Linked DNA regions of Notamacropus eugenii. The protein of the gene in region 2 purifies or fractionates together with the protein of the main gene of each other region. This does not show direct contact. Links are inferred from orthologs where the notes say so. Each region holds a gene or a part of one and is shown on either strand. Other genes may lie near its edges.

Region 1 (4,277 bases), on a different chromosome or scaffold from region 2:
CTCTTTAAAGTAAACCTAATCTACTTTCAAGGTCCTCGAATTGCTTGTCATTGGGATTCTGGGGAGCCAGGACAGATTGAGGCTGCTGTGGGCCTCATTTGCCTGCCACTCCAATGCTCACAACCTGACCAGAACCACACTCTTTTTAGAATAGTAGTTATAGCTGGGTTCTTTTCCTTGTCTCGAGACACAGGAGGGACAGAGGAGAGAGATTATGATGCCAGGGTCAGGTCCGCACCTGCAGGAAAGGGTCACTGACCCCAGCAACGCTATGCTCTGGTGAATATCCCGACATCACCAGAGTCCGAAGGATCTGCACCAGCTGGGGTACAACCTGGGGATGAGAAGAGTTTCACATAAGGACACAAGAACGCTGTACCCCCAGTCACACCCCCATACTATCAGTACTTTGTACTTTTCTGCCCTGGGAGTTTCCTGATTCTTTCTTGACTCACCTGTCTGAAATGTGTGAGGGCAGCAGGGCTTCGCTCACAAAGCTCTGTGATCAGTGTGATCGTTCCCATCAGGATACCTAGTTTCAAGGAGCAGGAGAGAGGGGGAGGAAGGAAATTAAATCAAATGGAGTCAGAGGAAAACCTATTTGAAACCTGCCCTGCTAACCTGTTTGGCTCAGGAAATGACAAGCCTCACCTTTCACCTCTGTACCCTGGGCCATGTCACTCTTCTATGACCCATATCCAGAGTTGCAAAAGGAGACAGAACAGTGTAGGAAGGAAGGGTGGCAGGTTCACGTGATGCTATTAACAGTGAGGATGAAAGGAGCTCCCTGCGCAAGAGAGTTCTTACCATGGTGGCGTTCATGCAGCAGCTGGGTACAGGGTGGGAGAAAGATGTCAGAGAGCTCAGGGACCTTCCGGATCATGTGCACTGCAGCCAGCACTGCCTGAGGGAGTGGGGGAGGAAAGAGGGGCACAGGCCAGAAGAAGCCACTGTAAGGGCACAGTAATATCAAACCCAGATTTGGGAGTTTCAAGGAAGAATTTCTTGAAGGTAAATGCATCAGAGGACCTTCCATCCTGACTTACCTTCTTTCTAATGTAAGGACTGGGCCTCAGCAGCAACCTCTCCACTTCATTGGCCAGGTCCCGGCACATCTCTGCTGAGCCCATGTTGCTTAGGGTACATAGTGCCAACCCCTGCACTGGCTGGGTCCCTTGGCTCAGGTCACTGCAGGGGTTGCCAAGATTGGGAAATGCCCTAGGAATTGAGTTCTTCCCTCCCACAGATGCCTCTCATCTCTGTCTTTTAGGGCTCATCTACTATCTAGGGTTTGAGAATCCTCCAAACTCCCGAATATATTGTTTCCCCCAACCTCCTCACTTTTTAATGCTGTTGGTTATGAGCAGGTGGGCATCCTGCCTCTCATCCAGCAGCAGCATTGCCCCCAGGTAGCCCACCCTTTTGTCTGTGAATCGGGGTGATGCGATCAGCTTCAGGCACTCCATCTATAGGAAGACAGGAGAGGCCGAGGACCAGAAGGAAGAGTGAGAGGGACCCGAGATCGTGTAGCCTCGCTCCATTCCCCTCCCTAACATTTAAATTAACCTTCTATACTATTCAGTATAGAGAAAGTGGAATAGTGCCAAAACAGGGCAGGAAATGGAAACGATCCCCTTAGTTTCAGTGTGAGTTTCACTGTTAGGTTCTAGGATCTAGGCCTGGAAGAGGCCTTTAAAAACTATCTAATTTATTTTGCCTGGGATAGTTAGACAACCTGTATATATGATATACATAGAAGACTGAGAGAATTTTACTGGTGTGTGTTTAGATATGTAAAAGAAGGAGGTTCTTGAGATCTTCGGGGAGATAGGCTGTGGGGATCTCATTTCAAGCACCCAATTAATGTTAGTTGAATCAATGAAGAAAAATAGGCAGTCCTAGGGATGGGTTTTAGCTGAAATGGCCTATCCCTCCTGAGAGCATGAACTTGTGTGTATGGGGCAGGGAAAGAGAGAGTCCCTGGGAAGGTTTGAGCTGAGGATTGATCCTGGATGGCATGGGTGTGCCACCCTGCCTCTGGTGAAGTTGTGAGTCAAAAGGAGTCCCTGGGAAATCTTGGGGTCTAGGCAGCAGGAGACAGCTGGAGTTGAGTATTCCAGATTATTTGGGATTTTGGGGGAGGCTTTTAATTTTTTTTCTTTACACAAATAACATTTTTTAAAACCTAACTAGTTGAAAGATTTGTAGGAAATATGATTCTCAAGGTAAGGTAAGCTGCCTTCATTTCATCTAATATAGCAGACAGTTTAACACTAATGGTTTTTAAATCAATACTTTCAATTGTAAATATGTTAGGATGTAGAATTGTATATACATATGGTTTAGTAACTCTCATCTGAAAGATAAACCGGAACTGCTGGTCTTAGCCTGCTGTCTTACTCATTTACATCAGAGGAGGGGTCACTTGGCTGCAATGATCAGGGTGTGAGGCTGTGTGTGTAGGGGGGTCCTTGGGAAATCCTGGGGTCTAAGCAGCGGAGGACCGGATGAGGGGTCACCCGATTGCAGTGGCTGTGCTCCTGACCGGGGTGTGAGCCTGTGTCTGTAGCGGGGCGTCCCTGAGAAGGAAGGGCTCCCGCTGTGCACAGCAGGGAGTCCTGGCAGAGCTGAGGTGTGGATGGTTCCCGCTAGGGGCGCGGTGCCCGGTGGGGTACCTGTCCAAAGTGGGCGGGATAGCCCAGCATGTGGACGTAGAGGAGCTTGGCGAGCTGGCGGTGGCGCTGGGGGGCATCGCCCTCGCGGAAGGCGGCCCGGATGTGGGCGCACTCCTTCTGGATGACCTCCCGCTCCTGGGCCTGAGTCCTGGCCCCGCGGATCTCCTGGATCAGCTCCTGCAGCTTCAGGGAGGGCAGCACCATCCTGGCCGGGCGGGGCAGGGCTGCGGGCCGGCTGGAGCTTAGCGACCGCGGGCCGGCCGCCTCGGCCCCGCCCTCGCCCCGCCCACCGGGCTCCCCCCGCCCGCAGCCCATAGGCCAGGAGCTCCCCACCCCCTCCACCTGCGGGGCTCTGGCTCCACCCCCCTCGCAGGCGCTCCACCCCCCTCGCAGGCGCTCCTCACCGCGCACGCGCCCTCCCTGCTCTCGCTTCCCTTCCCTCCCCAGGCCTGCGCACCCCTCGAGCCCCTCCCTTCTCCCGATGCCCCAACTGCGCATGTGCGGAGCCTCTCCCTATTTCCCCGCCCCGCCCCACCCTGCTGCCCCACAGCCCCGGCTCCAGACACCTGGTCTTCACGCTTCCCACCTGTCCCCCTCCCCGCAGCCTCCGAGCTTCGCGGATCCTGCAGCCCCCGGTCCCTCCCTCGTCAGACGCTCGTGGTCTCCGGCGGCCCAGCCCGGACAGCCCGCGCGCGTGCGCGCACGCAGCAGCCCCCAGCTCACCCGAGCCTGGCCTCGGCAGCTCCACTGGTGTGCGGGCTTCCTGGTCCGAGCCGGGCGGGGCGGCTCCCTACCTGGGCCTGCCCCCTTCCCGCCCCACCTCGCCCTCGTCCCGGCCCGGCCTTCAGCCTTCCGGGGCTGGGGCGGCCGCATCCCAGCCCTCCCTGGCCGTGTGGCCCTGGGCCGGTCCCTTTACCGCTGCCTGCCTCAGTTTCCTCTTCTGTAAAATGGAGATAGTAGCTCCCATCTCCGAAGCAGTGTTTGTAAAGTGCTGTGCGGGTCTGGAGTTACAGACGTTATAAATTGATAAACAAAAAAGCACAGATGTTATGGGTAGGACCCAGCCCCCTTCAGCTCCTCCATGCACCTGGCTCTGCCCCGAGCACGTGGGACTCGATGGGTGTGATGGAGCAAAGGCAGACTGGAGGTCTGGGGGTCCCCAGCCACCCTCCCCTGATGTGTGGGTTCAGCCCCCCCCCCCAATTTTCCCTCCATAAGATCTTACCCTTGGGGCACCAAAACTGACCAAGGGAGGAGATAGGCGGTCTTAGGGTAGAATGGTCTGAATCCCTCACACCTCAAAGGAGATGACTGCCCCCCCTTTTTTTAAACTTTTTTATTAATATATTTTTTGTTAAATTTATTTTTTTTCTGCAAGACTTGGTGTGAGCCGAGATGTTTGACTTCGATCCCAAATCCACGAAGTAGAAATTTGAAGTAAAGTCTTAAGAAGGGAAGGAAGTGGACCAGGTAGAAAATAGCCTGGCCAGAAAAAAAGAAGAGGGGGGGGGGCATTCCCAGGCATGGACATTCTTTGGGGAAGGGGGATAATGGGCAGCTTGCCTCTCTGCCTCATGCAGGGGAAGGGAGAGGCCTTCAGCA
Region 2 (4,277 bases):
TTGTATCATTAACAGAAACAGGTAATGGGGGATGGAAGGGAAGGAGAAGGAGAGAGGAAAATGAATGAATGAGACTTTGGCCAGTGAGTTTGAAACTGAAATATACAGATAAAGAAGTTTGCTCAATCAAACAGCTAGTCCACTAATAAAACTAGAACTGAGTTCAGTTCTTTTGTCCCACCATCTATCATTGTTTAGTTCTTCAACCTACCAACATTTTGCTTTTTAGATTCATGTAATAGATATTATAATATCCCACATCCAACTATTAGCTTATTCAGTTTCATAAACTTCTCAAATACATGGGCTATCTGGTGAATATAAAGGATTGAATCAATTTTCACACCACAGGCTACACATTCAATTGGATGCTTTCTCCCTAACTTTCAATAAAGTTATTATTAATAAGACCAAACTATCTGGAAAGCGCATTAAATTGGTATTAAAGAGACCTGAGTTCTTCATAACTTGGGCAAATCTCAACAATGTCATTCTATGAACATTTATTAAGGCACTATAGTAACCTAGGCCTGGTGATACAAAGACAAAAAAGAAACAACTTGTAGAGGTTTCAGTTTCCTCATCTGTACACTAAGTTGGGAGGCAGAAAGAATGGACTGGATGATTTCTAGGGTCCCTTCCATTTCAAAATTCTATTCTTTCTAAATAATACTGCTTACAAAAGGTCAGAACTGATCACTAAATCCAATTTTTACAAAATAATATGAATGCAGTTTTACTTTCCTCTAAATTCATCTACCACTAGTTTTGAATTGCTTTTTATACAATCTTAAATGCTTAAAAAAGAGAAGGAATGGAGAAAATTGATCTTTTTTCCCTTTCTGATTTCAAAACTTTATATTATCAGTTCTTTTTTTCCATATTACAAAATGTTTGTCTAATACTGAAATATTTCTTTTTTATTCTGCTCAGTAAAGTTATTTTACTTCATAAGAATGAAATTATTAAAGGAAAAGAAACAAGGTGAAATCAACACCCCAAATCAAAGTCTACAGATTAAAAATAATTTATTTCACAGTTATGAGAAATATTACTTTCGTTTCAATATAATTATACTACTATACTTTCCACAGAAGTAAATGTTACTATTAAAAAATATATTTCTCATCGTGTTATAAAGAGTAATTTTCAGTTGTTATTTCATAGAGATCAAACTTCAACATCTTCCTATGATGAAACTACTTCGTAACTCGCCACATTTTTGATATTGCAAAACGTGCATTAACTTTGTTAATAACAAAGTGGGCTTTGTCTCAAATAAACAAGAATTTTAAACATCAATATGACTGAAAAGGCTTAGATATAAGATGTGTGACAAAAATCAGTCTCAAATGATCAGCTTGCTTTTATGTCAAGTGCTGTAACTATAAACCCAAAAAGGTTCCGGCCTTCAATGAACTTACATTCTACGGGGGAGACAATATGCATGTGTCTAAGTATTGACAAAATACATAAAAGATTCTTTTTTCCCTCAGGAAATAGGAAGGGAGAAATGAGCAACCAGGCAGGGTTCAGGAAAGACACAATTTCAAGATGCAAAAGTGAGAAAAGTATGAACCCCAGGTATTTTGGGGGCTGGAAGAGACAGGTATGGAAGCAGGCCTTAAATAATGCTGTATGTAAGCAAAAGCAAGGCCAGTTTGACTGGACCTACCTACGGGTACATGAAAGAAGAACATGTATAATTAACCAGGAAAGGTAGGTTAGAGTCAGATTTTGAAAAGCTTTTTAAACACAAACCAGAGTTTAAATCTGATGCTCAGTATTTTAGTTACCTGTCTAGGCGAACCTCAGTGAAAATTATTATTCCAATTTTACTAACCAGATGACATTTTAAAAAATGCCTAAACTAAACAGTGTATACTAGTGGGTTCAAATCCCATTTTGGACATTTAATACCTATGTGATAATAAGCAAGGTATGTCTTTTCAAAAACCTCAATAAAATATAGGTAATAGTTGTCCTACCTACCTTAGAGGGTTGTTGAAGAAAAATAGCTTTGCAGCTCTTAAAATGCTATTTAAATGTGAGTAATGATTATTTACTTTTTCTAAAAGTTAATATGTATGAAGACTTAATAAATTTATAAATGAGTATACTCATCATTAAAGCTATTTTTAAGCTTTGAAAGAATCATCTATTAAAAGTATTTCCTGATTTGTCATTTCAATTCTGCATCAAAGGAGGCATATTATAGTTTACTTCATCTAAGGTTTCATCACTTTAAGTCTACTTTAAGAATTTCTAATTACAAAAGTGGTCTTCCTCTTTGTATAATTGTCCGTAAGTCACTTTTCATTCATATTTGACTACTATTATGAACTAAATAACATTTGGTCTCCTACTGCAACTTTCTGAAAAATGAAAATTATACCTTTTGTAGACAATCTTCAGATCTCGCCACTCCAAAAAACTGCACATTTTGGGTTTACGGGCTAAAACTGTTTGAACAAGTTCTCTTGTGATTTTTTTCTTTTCTTTGTCCGACAGTGGAACATACCATTTCTGGAGTCGGAGCTTTCCTTGACGACTAAAAAGCAACATAAACTGCATCTGGTAAAATAAACAAATCAAATCTTATTTTCAGATTCTACACACACTGAGATAAAGCTACATTTTTTCAATGTAGCTTTTAACAAGCTCCATTATAACAGAACAGAGAGAAAGTAAATTGATACATGATTATCATAATATCCACACTAAATTAAAAAATAAAAATAAATCATTCACAGAGCTGTCTCTCTCACACACACAAACTCAGAAATGCAATTGAAAATTTAAAAATTATTATAATTATGGTTAGAGCAGGAAACCATCACCTTTGATACGCTTTAAAGAGGCAAAGAATAACATGTTTTAGTAACATTTGATGTAGTCATATAAAACATGTTTGTTTTCTCTTATAATACCTTATTTGTCCCAACCGGATGGCACTTTTCAAGACAAATTAACATTTCAGTTGGTATCTTTTAACAGAAATAAAAATATGAAAGATCAACCATACTTTCAGACAAAATTTCTCTTCTCATATTCATTTTATAAAAATTCAAAACAACACACACTGTGCCAAACTGGGGCATGACTGTATTATCAAAATCAAAATCATATATACACAAATGCTACCTTTTAAAGTATTTGATATTTGTATGCTTAGTTAGGGTCTGCAAATAAAATTGTGACCATTTAAAAATTTATTATTTCAGGAAAACTTATTTTAGTTAAACTTGACTTTTAAACTACAAATAAGGAAATACTGAATAAATGAAATAACATATTTCATATGTAATTTTTCAATATCTTTTTTATAGTCGTGTTAACATTTCAAGTACAATTGTAATTCTGGATTTTTCCCCTAACATTCATAATATGCTGACTTTTTAAACATATTTCTTTATTGTGAAATGGGCCCTTTCTCGATTTTGTAAAAAATAATTTGCAAAATTATAAATAATCAAATATGTCTTACATTTTTGACTGGGTTAATCTTATTCAACCAATTAAAACCTAAGTCAATCCTCCCTCATTTAACAAAACACAGTCCAACAGTCCATACGCATTTATTAAACGCTTACTATGAGTCAAGTATTGGGCTAATAACATTAATACACTTTTCCACAGATCTCAAAGCTCCTCACAAAGGAGGACTGCAATATATTTATGAACCGCTTACTGTAGGTCAAGCACTACGCTAATGGAAATACTTTTCCAAGGATCTCAAAGCTCCTCCCAAACGAGGACGACACCACAACGTATTTATTAATTCAATCATTGGGCTAATAATACAAAGACTGTACACCTTTCCACGTAAAAGAAAACTGACGGACTCTGTCCAATCTCAAAGCGGCTGAAGAACTAGGAATAGAACGGATTCCATTTCCCCAGATCTTGTGTTATTGAGACGCAAAGTGCAGACTGCCCGCTGGAGGGAGGGGGAGCCCGTGGCCACAACTCCGACTTCTCACGTTGGATGAATCACTTATCCTCCCATAAGACGAGTTACCTGAAAATCTGGGGCTCTACCTGCCCGAGCCTCGGTGAAACCAACCCCCGGGACCTTAAATAAATACATAAGGCGAAAGGCAGAGGAAGAGTGCTTTCCAGGGGGCGGGCAGGGCTGCCTGTTAGACTGAGGATGGCCAAGACGCTCCTGGAGTCACAGCTCTCCTTTAGTCAGAAAAGACGCTCCAGGAGCGCCAGGCAGGGAGGGCGAGAGGGGAAGGGGAGAGACAATGGCCCGCGGCCGCGCTCCGTGCCCC
Region 3 (4,277 bases), on a different chromosome or scaffold from region 2:
AAGGATGAAAGAAGGAAGCAAGCCTTTGTTAAGGACCTATTAGTGCAAAGTGCCATCCTAAATGCTTTACAAACTATCCCGTATGAATCTCACAACAACCTTGGGAGGTAAGTACTATTATTATCCTCATTTCAGAGATGAGGAAACCAACCAAGGTTGAGTGACTTGCCCAGGGTCACACAGCTAGTAAGTGTCAGAGGCTGGATTTGAACTGAGGTTTTCCTGACTCCAGGCCCAACACTCTATATACTACAGAACCCTGCTAGCAGTCACTAAGATGACCATAAAGTTAACACCTATGGGTGACAGGGAGGAGAGAGGTAGATTTTGTCACTTGGGAGAGGTGGGTTTTGAAGGGAAGACAATTCAATAAATGTTAAGTGCATGCTATCAAGAAACCGAGCAGTATGCCTTCATTATTATCTCAGAGAAGAACAGGGATGAAGATACAAAAACTAAAGGGACTTGTGTTCTACCGCAGAATAAAATAGCCACTGGTTAAGTAAACAGTGGAGACAGCATTAGCAACTATGAGTAAGAAAGGTTTCTGGGAGAAGACAACGAGATGAAGAGAGAACATGTTCCAGAAATGGAAGCCTGGCTATGCCAAAGCACAGGGGTAGAAGTTGGAGCTGGAAGTACTGACCACATCCAGGAGGCTACACAAGCCCAGACAGAGATCAGACCTAATCAGATCTGGGAGTCATCTGCATAGGTGGTAACTGAATTCCTGGAAATGGGTCAAACAACCAAGAAAATATAGAGGGAGACAAGAGGGACATATAGCAGAATGTCAAATCAACAAGCTTGCATTAACCTCCCACTCTCTGGCAGGCATGTGCTAAGTAATGGGGATACAAAAGAAAGACAAACAGTCCCTATCTAATGGGGGAGACACAAGCCAACAACTATGTGCAGACAAGCCATGGGGAGGATAAATAGGAAAGAACCAACAAAGGAAAGGCACTGGCATAAGGGTAATCAGGGAAGGTTTCTTTAGCTGAGACCTGAAGGAAGTCAGAGGGGCAAGACAGGAGGAGGAAGAGCATTTCAGGGGTGGGAAACATCTAGTGAAAATGCCCAGAGCTGGGAGATGCAGAGTCCTGTGCAGAGAACAGCGAGGCAGCCAGTGTCACTGGATGGAAAAGGACAGTGGGGGAAGGGAGTGGTGTGTCCATGGTGGTGCCTGAGGGGTGGGTTATAAAGGGCTCTGAAAGCCAAAAAGAGGATTTTATACTTGATGGGGGAGATGACAGAGTTTACTGAATATGGGTGGTGATCTGGTCAGACCTGCACTTAAGGAAAATCATTTTGACAGCTGCGTGGGGAGACCTGAAGCAGGCAGAGGCACCAGGAAGCTATTCCAATAGCCCAGGCAGGAGGTGATGAAGGCCTGCTCTAGAGAGGTGACACTGTCATTAGAAAGGAGAAAGCATAAGAAAGATCTTATGAAGGTAAAAATGACAGGAGTTGGGAATGACTGGATATGGTGAGGGTGAGAGAGAGGGGGGTTGAGGATGACACACACCCCAGGTTGTGAGCCTGAGTGACTGGGAGGATGGTGAAACCCCTCCCTTGGGGGTAGGTAGGGGCTGTCTCACTTTGTAAAAGGGATCCTAAGATCACAGAATGCTGAGGCACCTCAGAGTAGTACAGACAGCCTCAGAACCAGGAAGGTTCAAATCCACTTTGATACACACCGGCTTCATCACCCTGGGTGAGTCACTTCACTCAAATTAGTGTCGTTAGGAGGCATGTAAGTCGGAGTAGCTCATCTCCACGGGTAGAGAAAATTCCTTACCCAAAGCTCTCTTACAAGTCAGAAAAAGATGATATAAAAAATCTCGCCCATGATGACAGCTTGCGTTTACACAGCACTGAAGGTTTACGACACGCTTTCTACATGCTGTATCATTTCATCCTCACCTCACCCTGGTGAACTGCGTGCCATTTTACAGGGGAGGAAACTGAGGCTGAGAGAAGTTAAATGACTCCTCCCGGGTCATTCTGCCGGTGAGTGTCCGAGGCAGGATGCAAACTCAGGTCTTCCGGACCCGACGTTCCCCAGTCTATCCACAGTGACAATTACGTGCCTATGGGTGGCTGAGGGCCTCCAGCCGTGAAGTTTCCCGCTCTGCCCACAGACCGGGGATCGGAAGAGGGGGAGGGCACTGGTTCTTCGGCCTCTGCGCGCCGCGGATCTTTACCCGAGTTTTTAAACGTAAGAGATAAAAGAGGGATTACAAAGAAAACGCCGCGCTCAGTAGGTCGCTTGTCCCCACCCCGATCACCGAGCTCAGAAATCCTCGTGCGCGGGCCGGCCGCCAGACGCGGAGCCAAGGTGCCCGGGTCGGAGAACTCGGGCGATCCTTGCCCTCAGGGTTCTCAAGGCTTGGGGGAGTACGGGGAGAAAGGGGGCCCCCACGAGCCCCGGAGCCCGGCCTGGAACCGCGGAGGCAGAAGCGCCGCGTGAGCAGCCTCTGAATCTGACCAAGCCTCTGCGGGCGGGCCCGCGACACCCGGCCACGTGAGCCCCGAGGAGGGGAGGGATGAAGAGGAGAAGGGATCCAGGCAGCGGAACCAGGCAGCGACGCCGCGCGCACTAGGGCGGCCCAACGCGCCGCAACTCACCCCCGGCTCCTCGCAGAACGCCCGGAGCTCCTCGCCACTGCGCAGACGCGGCCACCGGCGAGCCGTTTCCGGCGGGACAGCCAATCGGGACCTAGCAGACCTGTCACGTGAGGCGTCGGTCCCGCCTACCACGCTGGAGTTCCTCCACCCACTCTGCTGTCTTCAGTCTGCTTGGCTTGATCCCGCTTCCGTAGCCCATCCCCGAGCTTCTGGCTGGGGAGTCCGGCCCCCAAGGAGGCGGGGATGGAGGCGGGCCTAAAAGCCCCCCCCCCCGAGGTCTCCAGGCCACGCCCCCTGCACAATTTCATTTCATTTCATTTATTCATGGATTTGTTTTATTTATTATTTTATTTATATTCTAAATGTGACCAGGATCAACGACCATGGAGGCGGGATTTCAACAATCTGGCTGATTCTAGTCCTTTCCCTGCCAAGTCAAGTCAATGGGCATTGATTAAGCATCTACTGTGTGCCCCCAACTGCCCTAAGACAGCCCCAGCTCTCCAGGGAAACCGCGTGCAGACGACTGTGTTGGCAGCTAGTAGGTCCACTGGACCTGGAATCCCGAAGTCACTGTTTTCCAGTGGTGTCTGATTCTCTGGGACCCCCTGGGGCTTTCTTGGTAAAAATCCTGGAGGGGTTCGCCATCCCCTTCCCCAGATGAGGAACTGAGACAAACAAGGTTCAGTGACTTGGCCAGGGTCACACAGAGAGTGTCTGAGGTCACATCTGAACTCAGGTCTTCTTGACTTCAGGTCCTGCACTCTATCCAATTCTCCATCTCGATGAAGGTGGACCTGAGTTCAAATTTGACCGCAGATACTCGCTGTGTGACCCTGGACAAGTCACTTAACCCTGTTTGCTTCAGTTTCTTCAGCTGTAAAATAGGGCTAATACAAGTACCCACCTCACAGGATTGTTGTGAGGATCACATGAGATGTAAGAAATTCTTAGCATCGTGTCTGGGATGTAGTAGGTGCTTAATAAATACTCATTCTTTCACCTATGTACAAAAATATCTACAAGCCAAATTGGAGATAACAAACACGAGGCTCTGTCTTCTCTCTGAAATAAAGAAGATGGACAAGGTGGTCTTTAAAGACTTTCCCAGGTCTATAATGATGCTTTAGGATAATGGAAGTCTTTGGAGAGGTTGCCTTCAAAGCCCCCTTTCAGCCCCCTCCCCAAGAGCATCTATTTTCTGTAAGGATTACCACTTCTCTCTTCTACCCCCACCCTCACCCCTACCTCACCCTCACCCCCATCTCCACCCAGTAATCATGCTTCTTAGATGCCAAGATGTAGAAATAATTACAATAGCACCTCTTTATCAAGAATAGCTAGTTAATTATTAACTAACTTTTATTAGTTATCAGTTTTTTATTAGTTATTAATTAACTAATAGTAGTTATCAAATGGTCTGATGACTAGAGATGAATGGACAGTTTCCCTGGGAGCAGCCTGGTGGTGTCTATCTTTCTCCCCAAAGAAGAATGTTAAACCTAACCTAACTAAGAGCACCTCCTTCTCCAAGCATAACTGCTCAATTGCCCCAATTGCAAAACCTAATTGAGGCTCTGCAGCCATCTGACTTACACTTTGATTAGGGGATACAAGCAAAGACAAAAGACAATCCTGTTTTCAAG

What was found.
Region 1: the proteins of AP1S2 (region 2) and AP1G2 purify together in Homo sapiens (affinity purification with mass spectrometry; 3 studies listed by BioGRID and IntAct, counting the BioPlex papers as one, with this or other methods). This does not show direct contact. The link is inferred for Notamacropus eugenii from reciprocal best matches to the Homo sapiens genes AP1S2 and AP1G2.
Region 3: the proteins of AP1S2 (region 2) and AP2B1 purify together in Homo sapiens (affinity purification with mass spectrometry; 3 studies listed by BioGRID and IntAct, counting the BioPlex papers as one, with this or other methods). This does not show direct contact. The link is inferred for Notamacropus eugenii from reciprocal best matches to the Homo sapiens genes AP1S2 and AP2B1.

The regions. Positions count from the first base shown.
Region 1 is NC_092878.1:9,585,212-9,589,488, reverse strand, and holds the start of AP1G2 (AP-1 complex subunit gamma-like 2), read right to left. Parts: upstream 2,880-4,277; coding exon 2,676-2,879; intron 1,467-2,675; coding exon 1,342-1,466; intron 1,189-1,341; coding exon 1,047-1,188; intron 905-1,046; coding exon 808-904; intron 533-807; coding exon 456-532; intron 335-455; coding exon 239-334; intron 1-238.
Region 2 is NC_092876.1:374,168,498-374,172,774, reverse strand, and holds the start of AP1S2 (AP-1 complex subunit sigma-2), read right to left. Parts: upstream 3,005-4,277; 5' UTR 2,976-3,004; coding exon 2,931-2,975; intron 2,575-2,930; coding exon 2,396-2,574; intron 1-2,395. UniProt on the Homo sapiens protein: Subunit of clathrin-associated adaptor protein complex 1 that plays a role in protein sorting in the late-Golgi/trans-Golgi network (TGN) and/or endosomes.
Region 3 is NC_092873.1:307,739,510-307,743,786, forward strand, and holds the start of AP2B1 (AP-2 complex subunit beta), read right to left. Parts: upstream 2,714-4,277; 5' UTR 2,632-2,713; intron 1-2,631. UniProt on the Homo sapiens protein: Component of the adaptor protein complex 2 (AP-2). Adaptor protein complexes function in protein transport via transport vesicles in different membrane traffic pathways.